2 linked regions of the Drosophila melanogaster genome follow. The protein of the gene in region 1 interacts with the protein of each later gene in a pairwise test. Each region holds a gene or a part of one and is shown in the gene's direction. Other genes may lie near its edges.

What was found.
Region 2: the proteins of CG12229 (region 1) and inaC interact in a two-hybrid assay, tested with the Drosophila melanogaster proteins (one large-scale study listed by BioGRID).

What each region holds. Positions count from the first base shown.
Region 1 is NT_037436.4:17,433,872-17,438,570, reverse strand, and holds CG12229 (uncharacterized protein), read left to right. Parts: upstream 1-2,139; 5' UTR 2,140-2,193; coding exon of another isoform or gene 2,194-2,247; 5' UTR 2,248-2,323; coding exon 2,324-4,039; 3' UTR 4,040-4,099; downstream 4,100-4,699. Other genes in the region: CG32176 (uncharacterized protein), read right to left, coding at 713-964, 1,028-2,058, 2,194-2,247, 4,115-4,177, 4,238-4,382, 4,434-4,634.
Region 2 is NT_033778.4:16,896,631-16,902,377, forward strand, and holds inaC (inactivation no afterpotential C), read left to right. Parts: upstream 1-1,904; 5' UTR 1,905-2,014; coding exon 2,015-2,292; intron 2,293-2,453; coding exon 2,454-2,485; intron 2,486-2,539; coding exon 2,540-2,734; intron 2,735-2,794; coding exon 2,795-2,923; intron 2,924-2,984; coding exon 2,985-3,141; intron 3,142-3,201; coding exon 3,202-3,430; intron 3,431-3,484; coding exon 3,485-3,882; intron 3,883-3,945; coding exon 3,946-4,147; intron 4,148-4,206; coding exon 4,207-4,395; intron 4,396-4,452; coding exon 4,453-4,593; intron 4,594-4,654; coding exon 4,655-4,807; 3' UTR 4,808-4,945; downstream 4,946-5,747. UniProt on the Drosophila melanogaster protein: This is a calcium-activated, phospholipid-dependent, serine- and threonine-specific enzyme. This isozyme is a negative regulator of the visual transduction cascade and has been shown to be required for photoreceptor cell inactivation and light adaptation.

The sequences.
Region 1 (4,699 bases):
GTGGTGTGGACATGTTCTGCAACCGCATGATTAGAAATTGAGCAAAGTCGATGATAAAGCGGCGGGTGGAGCTGAATCCCTTACATGTATAGAAAAACGGGTGGGAAGCCGAAACTGGGTTAAACCAAAACCCTTCCATTTAAATGCGTACCCAATGATTTTTTAGCTTGTTTATGACAAGTAATATCAATGCACAAGCGTAACCTTCGTGCGGCTCGTTTAACTGCCTATTCCAGGCTGCTCAGCTCACGCAAACTCTTCTTAAACAAAAAAGCACAGTTATCGCATTTTCTTTTAAACTACAAAACATAGCTGAAAACTACAAATAAACATGTCGACGCATCGAATACATAAATAAATCTTTTTAAGTAATATATATGAATTCAATTTAAATAAATACTAAATCCAAAAACTGCGTTACACGGCTTTTTCAACCCTTACACGGCTTGTTACTCAAACTAAAAACGATGGCTTAAAATTATATTTATAAAAAGCAACTACTTCTACACAACGTATACTTACTCTACACGAATAGAGTATCGAAAAGACGAATAAGAAATTAAATATCCGCTTAGCACGATATATTCAAATTTTTTGTTGCCTTCCGCCCCCGAGGACAGCAAATTTTTATTTGACTTTTTATATGCCATATAAACTAGGGCCGTGCGTCAGTACGCGACTTTTCAATAAATCCCGCCCTTAGCGGCTAAACTTATTTATCCCCCTTGCTACTGTTTGAAGTTTTACGCTGTCGGTGCTGCAGAAGCTCCTGGTATTGCTCTATGGATCCGTCTTCATGCTTGGAAGTAAATGAATCCGGCTTTTCAACCTTGGCCTGCTCCTCGCCGGCGGTGACTTTGGTGCGCTTCGATTTCTTGAGCTTGTCACGGACGCGTTTTCCCAAACGCGATTCGGCCAGCACCTGGCTGACCTTGGAGCTCTTCATGTAGCGTGAACGCCAGGACTACAAACAAAAGGATTATTGTGTTGAAAAAAAGGTACTGTTTTGAGGAGCATTTAAAAATACCTCGGAGTCTGCCTGCTGTAGTTTGTCGCGTTCATCCTCGCTTGTGTCCAGGGATATGACATCGTTGTCCAGTTCCTCAGGATCCTGCATCTTCTCCTTTTTCTCGCTTTTAATGCTTACCCAAGGTGAATCGTCATCCTTCGTCATTTCCTCAATCATTTCTAGATCCCCACCTATTGAAATGACGTCGTCGTTTTGATCTTCGTCGTCAAGGGCAGTTGGCTCGGCTGCACTCGGCTTCTTTGGCTCTGCAGGGGGATTAGCTGGGAGAGCTTCTTCCGACGGTGGTTCCTTATCCCCTGTTTTATCTAGCTTATCAGACGTATCCGATACTTCTGGCTTATTACTTTCCAGTTCTTTCGAAATAGCTGCTGCTTCTGACTCTGTTGGCTCATCTGGATTGGCTGGGTCAACTACCTTAGCTGGCTCTTCGGGTTCATCGCGCACTTCTCCCTCCTCTGGCTCGCTCTCAACGACTGGGGCTGGTGGGTCCGATTCGACTTGCTTAGTTGTAGTTGTTTCAGTTGTCTTCTTTTTGGTGGCCTCATCATCCGTACTGTCGCTGATCAGCAGTGTTTCGGGTTCCGTTTGTATAGGTATCACATCTGGTGAGGCTGAACGTGATTTGGAACGTGGCAGTTTGTTTAAATCGTTAGATGCAACCAAAGTTTCGGATGAAGTAGTAGATGTTGGAGGTTTGACTTCCTTTTCTGGCGACTTTGAAGTCCGCCTATAGTTTCTTTTGATCTTGATTCTTTTGCGGGGCGCTTCCTGCTCCTTGCTGCTGCTATCAGGCTGGGATGGAGATGTTGGTCTAGCTGATTCCTGCGATTTGCGCTTGCTCGAATCCGTTTTTTTAGTGCTGCGTTTATCCTTTTCCTTTCGCTGTACTTTCTCCACTGGTACTTCGTCAATATCATCATCTGACTTGACCTCTATTTTGGTGATTGGCTCCATTGCCAGTTGGGAGCGGATGGCCCTGGCACGTGCCTGAAGTTCCAACAGTTCCAGCACGCTCATTTGACCACCCGCTGTGGGAGAAAAGAATACCTTAGTAACCTGAACAAATTTGCCGTCAAACGGGCGCACAGTCTCAGATGGCTGTTGTTATCATACTTTCGGTCGATTTCGATTAGTTTTTATACATTCGTAAAGTTTGTACTTACACTCTTTGTTTTCATTCCCATTGTTCGTTTTCTTGGATCTAAGCTTCTTCTTGGCTGAAAATCAGACAAGATTGACACAGATTGCATTACAAATTGTGCTAAAGTATACATAAATTAACTGCACGCCAGGATGCCGATCAACCAGAAAGAAGTAACGCCGCAACTAGACAGTCAGACAGGTGAGGATCAGGGGGAGGAGGAGGAGCAGCCGGAAGACGAGAATCGTCTGGAGAAGTTTACGGTGCGTCTTAATGGACAACATGACCTGGAGCAGCGTTTAAAGGATTTCAAAGCGGCATGCGAGGCTCACGAGAAGCACGCCAGACGGCGAAAACGGAAGAGATACTATCATTTGGGTCTTGTGGCCAAGCTGGTGACGGAAACCACTCACGACGAGCTGCGACGTATGCTGGAAAATGGAACCTACACCTTTCACGTGGATACGGTGGGCAACAAGCCCGATGAACTGAAAGCCATTTTGGACACCATGAACATTGCGATATCGGCGCATTCTGCAGAGAGGGAACTACGTCTGACAACTGGCTTGGCTCTGGAGATTAACGGCGAGTGCTGTCGCGTTGGGAGACTGAGGAACAACTGCACCGTGATGCTGGCACGAGGTGGGGTGGTCACACTCACCACGGATGAGTCCTACCGCTACAAAGGCTTTAAAGAAATAGTGTACGTAATCAATCTGCGGTGTTATCTCGCCTCCGTTCAGTTGGGCGATATTGTGATGATCGGACGTGAAGTTAGAGGTAAGGTGGTGAAGACCCTGCGGGAAGCACTAACCGTGATGATCATAGATGCCGGTCTGGTAGCCTCCTACGACTTTATAGAGCTTCCTAGACAGTGCCACGCTCTCGATCCGGACCTATATCCCGATCTGTACATGAAGGACCTTGAGATGGCCGCGTCTTTGAATGCCAACTATGTGGTTCTGCCCAAGATACGATGCAAGAGCTTTCTTCGTGCCGTGCGGCAGACCTTGAACTCGGACTTCAACCTTAAGTTGATCGGAATGATAGATTTCGAGTATGTGCGAAGTAACATGCTTGATTTGCTAGGCATCATTAAGCTTGTGGACTACATTTGGATACCCGACATGTTCAACGTAAACTGTTGCGTATATAACTACATTATGGAGGACGTGCTTCCGATTTCGCAGTGCCAGAAGAAGCCAGTCATTGGCACTGTTCCGCTGGAGCGTTGCAGTGATTTTAAGCGATTTGAGTTGCACGATTTCCTGTGGAAGGTCGACGCTATTCACATCCAAAAAAGTCCATGGTGCAACAAATATCCGCTGATAGTCAAAAAGCTGATGCCCATAAAAGATTATCGTGTTGGCGCGGTCCAGAATAAGATGGTACTGAAGAGCATCCTAACCTCATACCAGACCATTGTGAATTTTATTATCCGCACAATTAGCTCGATTGAGTGTCAAGCCATATTTTTGTTCACCACTTGCGAGACCGCCAGCGTGGCCCTTTCGCGTATTGAGATCTATTGCCCAGTATATGTGATGGTGCCGCTGGAGGAGACAGATGATGCGGAAACCATTACCTGCAAGGTGGAGCTCGCTCGTGCGCTTCATTTGCGCCGTAACATGCACCCGGTTCTTTACACCAAGGATCTCAACGAGTGCAGCTACAGTCCGATTGAGTTTGGAGTGGACTTTATGAGGAAGAAGGGCTGCTTGGAGGTTGGAGACTTTGTAGTTACCCTGGAGGTGGGCAAAGAGGATAAGGATAACGTGGTCATCGGCATAGGAGAGGATGTTTGCATCCTGCGGGCATTTTACGTGTCGCCGCTCTTTGCCTGCGAGAAGTTTAAGTACGGTGGATAACTTTACGGCGTGCAGTTGTGCAGATTACACAGATAATAAACTCTAAATTAAATGTATCTTATGCCACCAACTCACTTTTTCGGGATTCCTGACCTCCGATGTCGCTGTCGGATGATATCTCCTCTAGCGAGATGTGTTCTGAAATGAGACTTTATAATGAATGGTGGGTTTATAGGGCAAGGAAGTGATTCAACATACCTTCTTTGTGCTCCACATCGGAATCTTCGGAGCTTTCAGTGTCTGTGGGACATTTGGTGTTTTCTATTATGGATTTTAGCCGCTTCGTAGACAAGCAGAGTAACTCCTCCAGACAAAGTTCCTCGATTTCGTCTAGTGGCGTTTTCTGCGTGAAATTATTGATAAATAGCTTTTTATAAAAAGAACTATAACACACCTTTAGAAACTCTGGGGCTAGGTTCAAAATGGTTTTCGGTTTTAAGGTCCCAAATATCTGTTTCACCAATTCCAGGCGGTCGTCTATGTAATGGGACATGGGATGCAGCTTTCGTTCCTCCTCGATCTTCTCCTTCTTAATGCTAATGGGCTTGGGGATTTGGTCGCCCTTGCTGGATTTTTTCGCCTTCAAGCCACTCATTTTATCCAATTTGTTGTCAAAATAAAAACCAAGTAATTTCGGTCTTTCGGGCAGCGTTGCCACTA
Region 2 (5,747 bases), on another chromosome or scaffold:
TCGGCTAACAAGTAGCCAAGCGGAATTGCCAAATGTTGAAATGGCGAACAACAGAATAAGGAAAACAACAAAGCCTTGGCCAAAAGCAAACGAAGCCAGAGAAAAGTAATGCAAAGTAAAGTCAGAGTAAATAACCTGGAAGTAAAGCTAAACAAAAATGTGTTATACGCTGAGAGGCGGCTCTCTGGCTCTTTGCGGCTTGGCCTGCTTTTGTGAAATGGCCAAGAGGGAAAAATGGAGGGGAAAATTGTTTGGCGACGCCATGGAAATGATGACGTAAATTGAAAGCCAAAGCTGCCACGGCAACGAAATCTATTTGCAATTCCCTCTGCTCGCCGAAACCCCCTTGTCAATGCCTTTCAACCGACAGGTGTGCAGTTCTGTAGTTCTGGGCAATCTGCGAGTGCATATTTGTCGACTCACTGAGTGCACTTCTGAGATACAGATACGCGTGCCGCTGCAGATACTTAGATACTTTGACTTGGACCTGCTTTAATGGCATTTTTCCCCGACAAAGGTCCTACATTTCCGCTTTAATGCATTTTCCAACCCATTTCATCGCTGCTTTCGGTAGCGTTTTTAGTTGTTTCAGCTTGGATTTCAGCTAACCGCTTTTATTTTGTATTTTGTTTGCCTTGCCAGCCAGCGTGTCCTTCTGTGTCCTGTGTGCACTTTGTGCTCAATTCTGCGTTTTCTATTTCTATTTTTAGCCCTGCACTGAAAGCCAGCTGGCTTGCAGGGGCGGCGCTTAAATGGGGGGTTCTTTCACGGAAAACGTGCCCTGCCAGCAATTGCATAAATTAATCAAAACTGCCACACAGTATAAATACTCAATCGACAATAGTCACACATACACACACACACACACATAGAAGCTTTCGCACATCACCATTTTCCGAAACCCCTTCGCCCACTTTTCCAATTTTATTGCATTGACGTCACAGCTGCAGTTGTCCGGAGCAATGGCTCCGATGATGATTATGTTTGTCTTCTGGCCAGGTAAGCACCTTCTTGACCTTTCCCAAGCTGTTTACACTTATCGCTGGTAAGGGCCCAAAGACGAGAGTTCTTGGCTTTCACTCTTCGGTCCTCCGTTCGATTGACGGGACGTCGTTGAGTGCTTTTTCCTGGGGGACAATTGCGATGGGGGCTAACTGCCGAACTAACTGAATCAGCGTGGATAAGTGCTGATTACCCAGGCATAGAGCAAATGGTTGCATGGCAACTTGTGTAAGATCTATAGGGACTAGTAGTAAGGATGCTTTGGACATGACATTCATTGTTATGAAATGGTTAAAAGCATTAAATTTGACTTTTAAAATGCGCACACATATATTAAGTACCTAGAAATTGACAGAAATTAATCATACAAAGTCTCAAATATTACACAATTGTTTAACACCGATTTACGCTAACAAAGGCACAATTTAATTGTGGTAAATAGTTCCACAAATGTCCGATTTTAAATAATTAAAAAAACATGCAATAAAGAGGCTATAAAATATTATTCACTTTGATATGTGCATAATTAACGTTTAATATTCGTGTGTTTACTCACACATATTTTATTTTCTTTTAGCTGCTTTACATGTGCAGAAATAATTTTAAATCAGAAGGGTATTTTTCTGAAACATTTCTCTTATGGTTTTTTTTTGATATGTATGAGCAGTATTATGTTGTATTTATATTACATTTTTTATTCAGTCTACACAAATATAATGAGATATGGATAAGGAGGTTTCTATAAGCTAGGAACAAATACATATTTGGAAAATTTATGAATGAAATTACGTCTTATGCACTATTGCATAAGTCCAAACTGTCGCCCGTTTGCATCACTCTGTGTCATTTTCTTGCCTTCAACTTTGTGTGTGCACTTTGTTGGCTTCCAAGTTGCTTCTTTTAGGGTCTTCACCTGACCGACCGGGTCAGTTTCTAGACGGGCTTGAAACCGTACGGTCTGAGTCAGCTTTTTCTCTTCACTAGCTATCCAATTCCCTGACATTATCTTTTAATGGCTGCGGCTGCTGTTGCCACACCGGGGGCCACTGTGCTCCCTCCCTCGGTGCCCAGTGCCGCTCCAGGGGCCAAGGCTCCAGCGGCTGGAGCTGGCAAAGGTCCAGGAAATCTACTGGAGATCACTGGCGAAGCAAATATCGTCAACTATATGAAGAATCGTCTAAGGAAGGGTGCGATGAAGCGAAAGGGTCTCGAAATGGTCAATGGTCATCGTTTCGGAGTTAGATTCTTTAAGAATCCAACCTACTGCGGTCATTGCAAGGATTTCATCTGGTGAGAAATTTCGTTTTCGGTTTTTGCTGGCATCTCAGCGTTCCCATCGTTAATTTAATTAGTGCCTTCGTTGCTGACACACTTTTCGTTGTTTTTTCTATATTTTTTTCGCTGTTCTTCCGTTTCGCATTGTTGCATTCGCGGATTCGTGCCGGGATTAGGGGCTTTGGCAAGCAAGGTTTTCAGTGCGAGGGTAGGTAGAAATGTTCACAATTTAAAAAATCTTTTAAAATATTTGCATACGCAGAATGCCGCTTCAACATTCACCAGAAGTGCTGTAAATTTGTGGTGTTCAAATGTCCTGGCAAGGACACGGACTTCGATGCCGACTGCGCTAAGGTGAAGCACGGCTGGATTTCCACCACCTACACCACACCGACATTCTGCGACGAGTGCGGACTGCTGCTCCATGGAGTCGCCCATCAGGGCGTCAAGTGCGAGAGTAAATTCCTGAATAAACTCGAGTCCTATTGCTTTCAAGCTATTAACCCAAATATTTCAGATTGCAACCTAAATGTGCATCACGCCTGCCAGGAGACAGTGCCACCGATGTGTGGTGCGGACATCAGCGAGGTGAGGGGTAAACTACTGCTATACGTCGAGCTTAAGGGCAATAACTTGAAAGTTGATAGTAAGTTATTACTTAAAGTTTATATGCCCATATAAAGATTAATGTTTCTTTCATACTGCAGTTAAGGAGGCAGCTAACCTCATTCCCATGGATACCAACGGGTTTAGCGATCCCTATATTGCAGTGCAAATGCATCCGGACCGTTCGGGGCGCACCAAAAAGAAGACCAAGACCATTCAGAAAAACCTCAATCCAGTGTTCAACGAGACTTTTACTTTGTAATAGTTGAAAACTAATCCTCTAAATAGACCTCTTTACCATATTTTCTTTAATCCTAGTGAGTTGCAGCCGCAGGACCGTGACAAGCGTTTGCTCATCGAGGTTTGGGATTGGGATCGAACTTCTCGCAATGATTTCATGGGATCGTTCTCGTTCAGCCTGGAGGAACTGCAAAAGGAGCCAGTTGATGGCTGGTATAAGTTTCTGTCGCAAGTGGAGGGTGAACATTATAACATACCCTGTGTGGATGCCTTTAATGATATAGCTCGCTTAAGGGATGAAGTTAGGGTAAGCGGATGTCCTCACCAAGTTTGCCACATATTTAATATTCCTGATTTTCAGCACGATCGTCGTCCGAATGAAAAGCGTCGCATGGACAACAAGGATATGCCGCATAATATGAGCAAACGCGATATGATTCGAGCTGCTGATTTCAACTTTGTTAAAGTTATTGGCAAGGGATCCTTTGGCAAAGTCCTGCTGGCCGAGCGTCGTGGCACGGATGAGCTGTATGCCGTGAAGGTCCTGCGAAAGGATGTCATTATCCAAACGGACGATATGGAGCTGCCAATGAATGAGAAGAAAATTCTAGCCCTATCCGGACGTCCTCCTTTCCTCGTCTCCATGCACTCATGTTTCCAGACTATGGACCGATTATTCTTCGTAATGGAGTACTGTAAGGGTGGAGATCTTATGTACCATATGCAGCAGTATGGAAGGTTCAAGGAGTCTGTGGCTATGTGAGTACAAATATTTATATTCAAGTACCATATTTTGAAATCTTCTATATATTATGTGCTTAGTTTTTACGCTGTGGAAGTGGCTATTGCTCTGTTTTTCCTCCACGAGCGTGATATTATCTATAGAGATCTAAAGCTGGACAACATTTTGCTGGATGGTGAGGGGCATGTAAAGCTGGTCGACTTTGGATTGAGCAAAGAGGGCGTTACCGAGCGGCAGACCACACGAACCTTTTGTGGTACTCCAAATTATATGGCTCCCGAAGTAAGTAAATCAGCCGAAAAAAATAAGTGTAAAAATAATCAGCTTAAAAATAATTTAAGATTGTTAGCTACGATCCGTATTCCATCGCCGCTGATTGGTGGTCTTTTGGTGTATTGCTTTTCGAATTCATGGCAGGTCAGGCTCCATTCGAAGGAGATGATGAAACTACTGTCTTTAGGAACATAAAGGACAAGAAGGCGGTGTTTCCAAAGCATTTCAGCGTGGAGGCCATGGATATAATAACGAGCGTAAGTGTTGGATTTCAAAAACATATGAATCTAATGGTATAGATTTGTATTCCAAAGTTCCTGACCAAAAAGCCCAACAATAGATTGGGTGCAGGCCGCTATGCCAGACAGGAGATTACCACGCATCCTTTCTTCCGGAATGTGGACTGGGATAAGGCAGAGGCATGCGAAATGGAGCCACCTATTAAGCCAATGATTGTAAGCTAAAACAGGAGCCCCACTAGGAAATCATTTTATTGTAATCTTGGGTACATTTCAGAAACATCGCAAGGATATAAGCAACTTTGATGATGCCTTTACCAAGGAGAAGACGGACTTAACTCCAACGGACAAGCTTTTTATGATGAATTTGGACCAGAACGATTTTATCGGATTTTCTTTCATGAATCCCGAGTTTATAACCATCATTTAAAATGGTCTAAAAAAAAGCTTTGAGAAAAGTTTATAGGCTTCTTCGAAAAACTAGGCTTTTGCAAGTTAATTTACCGAAATTTATTTATTGTATCCTTCGCTAAAAGCCATCTAAATGTTCATTAAAGCTTTAACGCTTAAAGCTCTGATATTTAGTGGGTGGATTTTTCTTTTGGCTTTCTCTCTTTTAAGAGACAGCTTTTCACCACTAACATTAACATTTCCTCTGAAGCCCAGATAGTAAAAGAAAACAGAGAAAGTTCCGGACCAGCAGCTGATTGCTTTCTCTTTCTCTCTTTTCGGAAGGGGAAATCCTTTTGTGGAAACTCACCACTCGAGAGCACCTGAATTAGTTACGCATACGCCGCGTGTGCTCCACTCAAGGAAACCCTGACAGGAAGTTTCAAGATTGCCAGTGGGCTAACTAGCCAACTTTGGTTAAAATCTAAACTCATCAACAGGCTTGAAAGTTTTTAGTTATGTATGTCGAATTTCAAAGTTGCTCACAAGGCCACAACTTATTGCCGTTCATGTGGGTATGATGAAAATTCTTCGAACATTTTTGCCCAAATCCATCTTGCGGGTCGAGCGTAAAATTCAACGGGGTGAAAAGCGGTTTAACGGGTCGCCAAATAGTTTTCCTGTGCCAGGGCAAATATGTCTTATGACACATTTTAATATGAAATTTCACTACCGGGAATTCCCCGGATATTTTTAATTTGGGGCGCTCATCTAATCGACTGTCAAAAGCATTTCAAGGCGAATGCTATTTTCCGCTGCCCTGGTTCTAAATGAATTTCCACGATTTGCAGCTTCCCTTTTCGAAGGCAACATCCTGCTCAGAACTGTTTGCACTCTATTAGCGGCAATTTGCGGGTTTACGTGCACTTTTCACGGCTTTTAGACACGTTCCACTGTCTCTGGCCGGTTGCGCCGGTTGC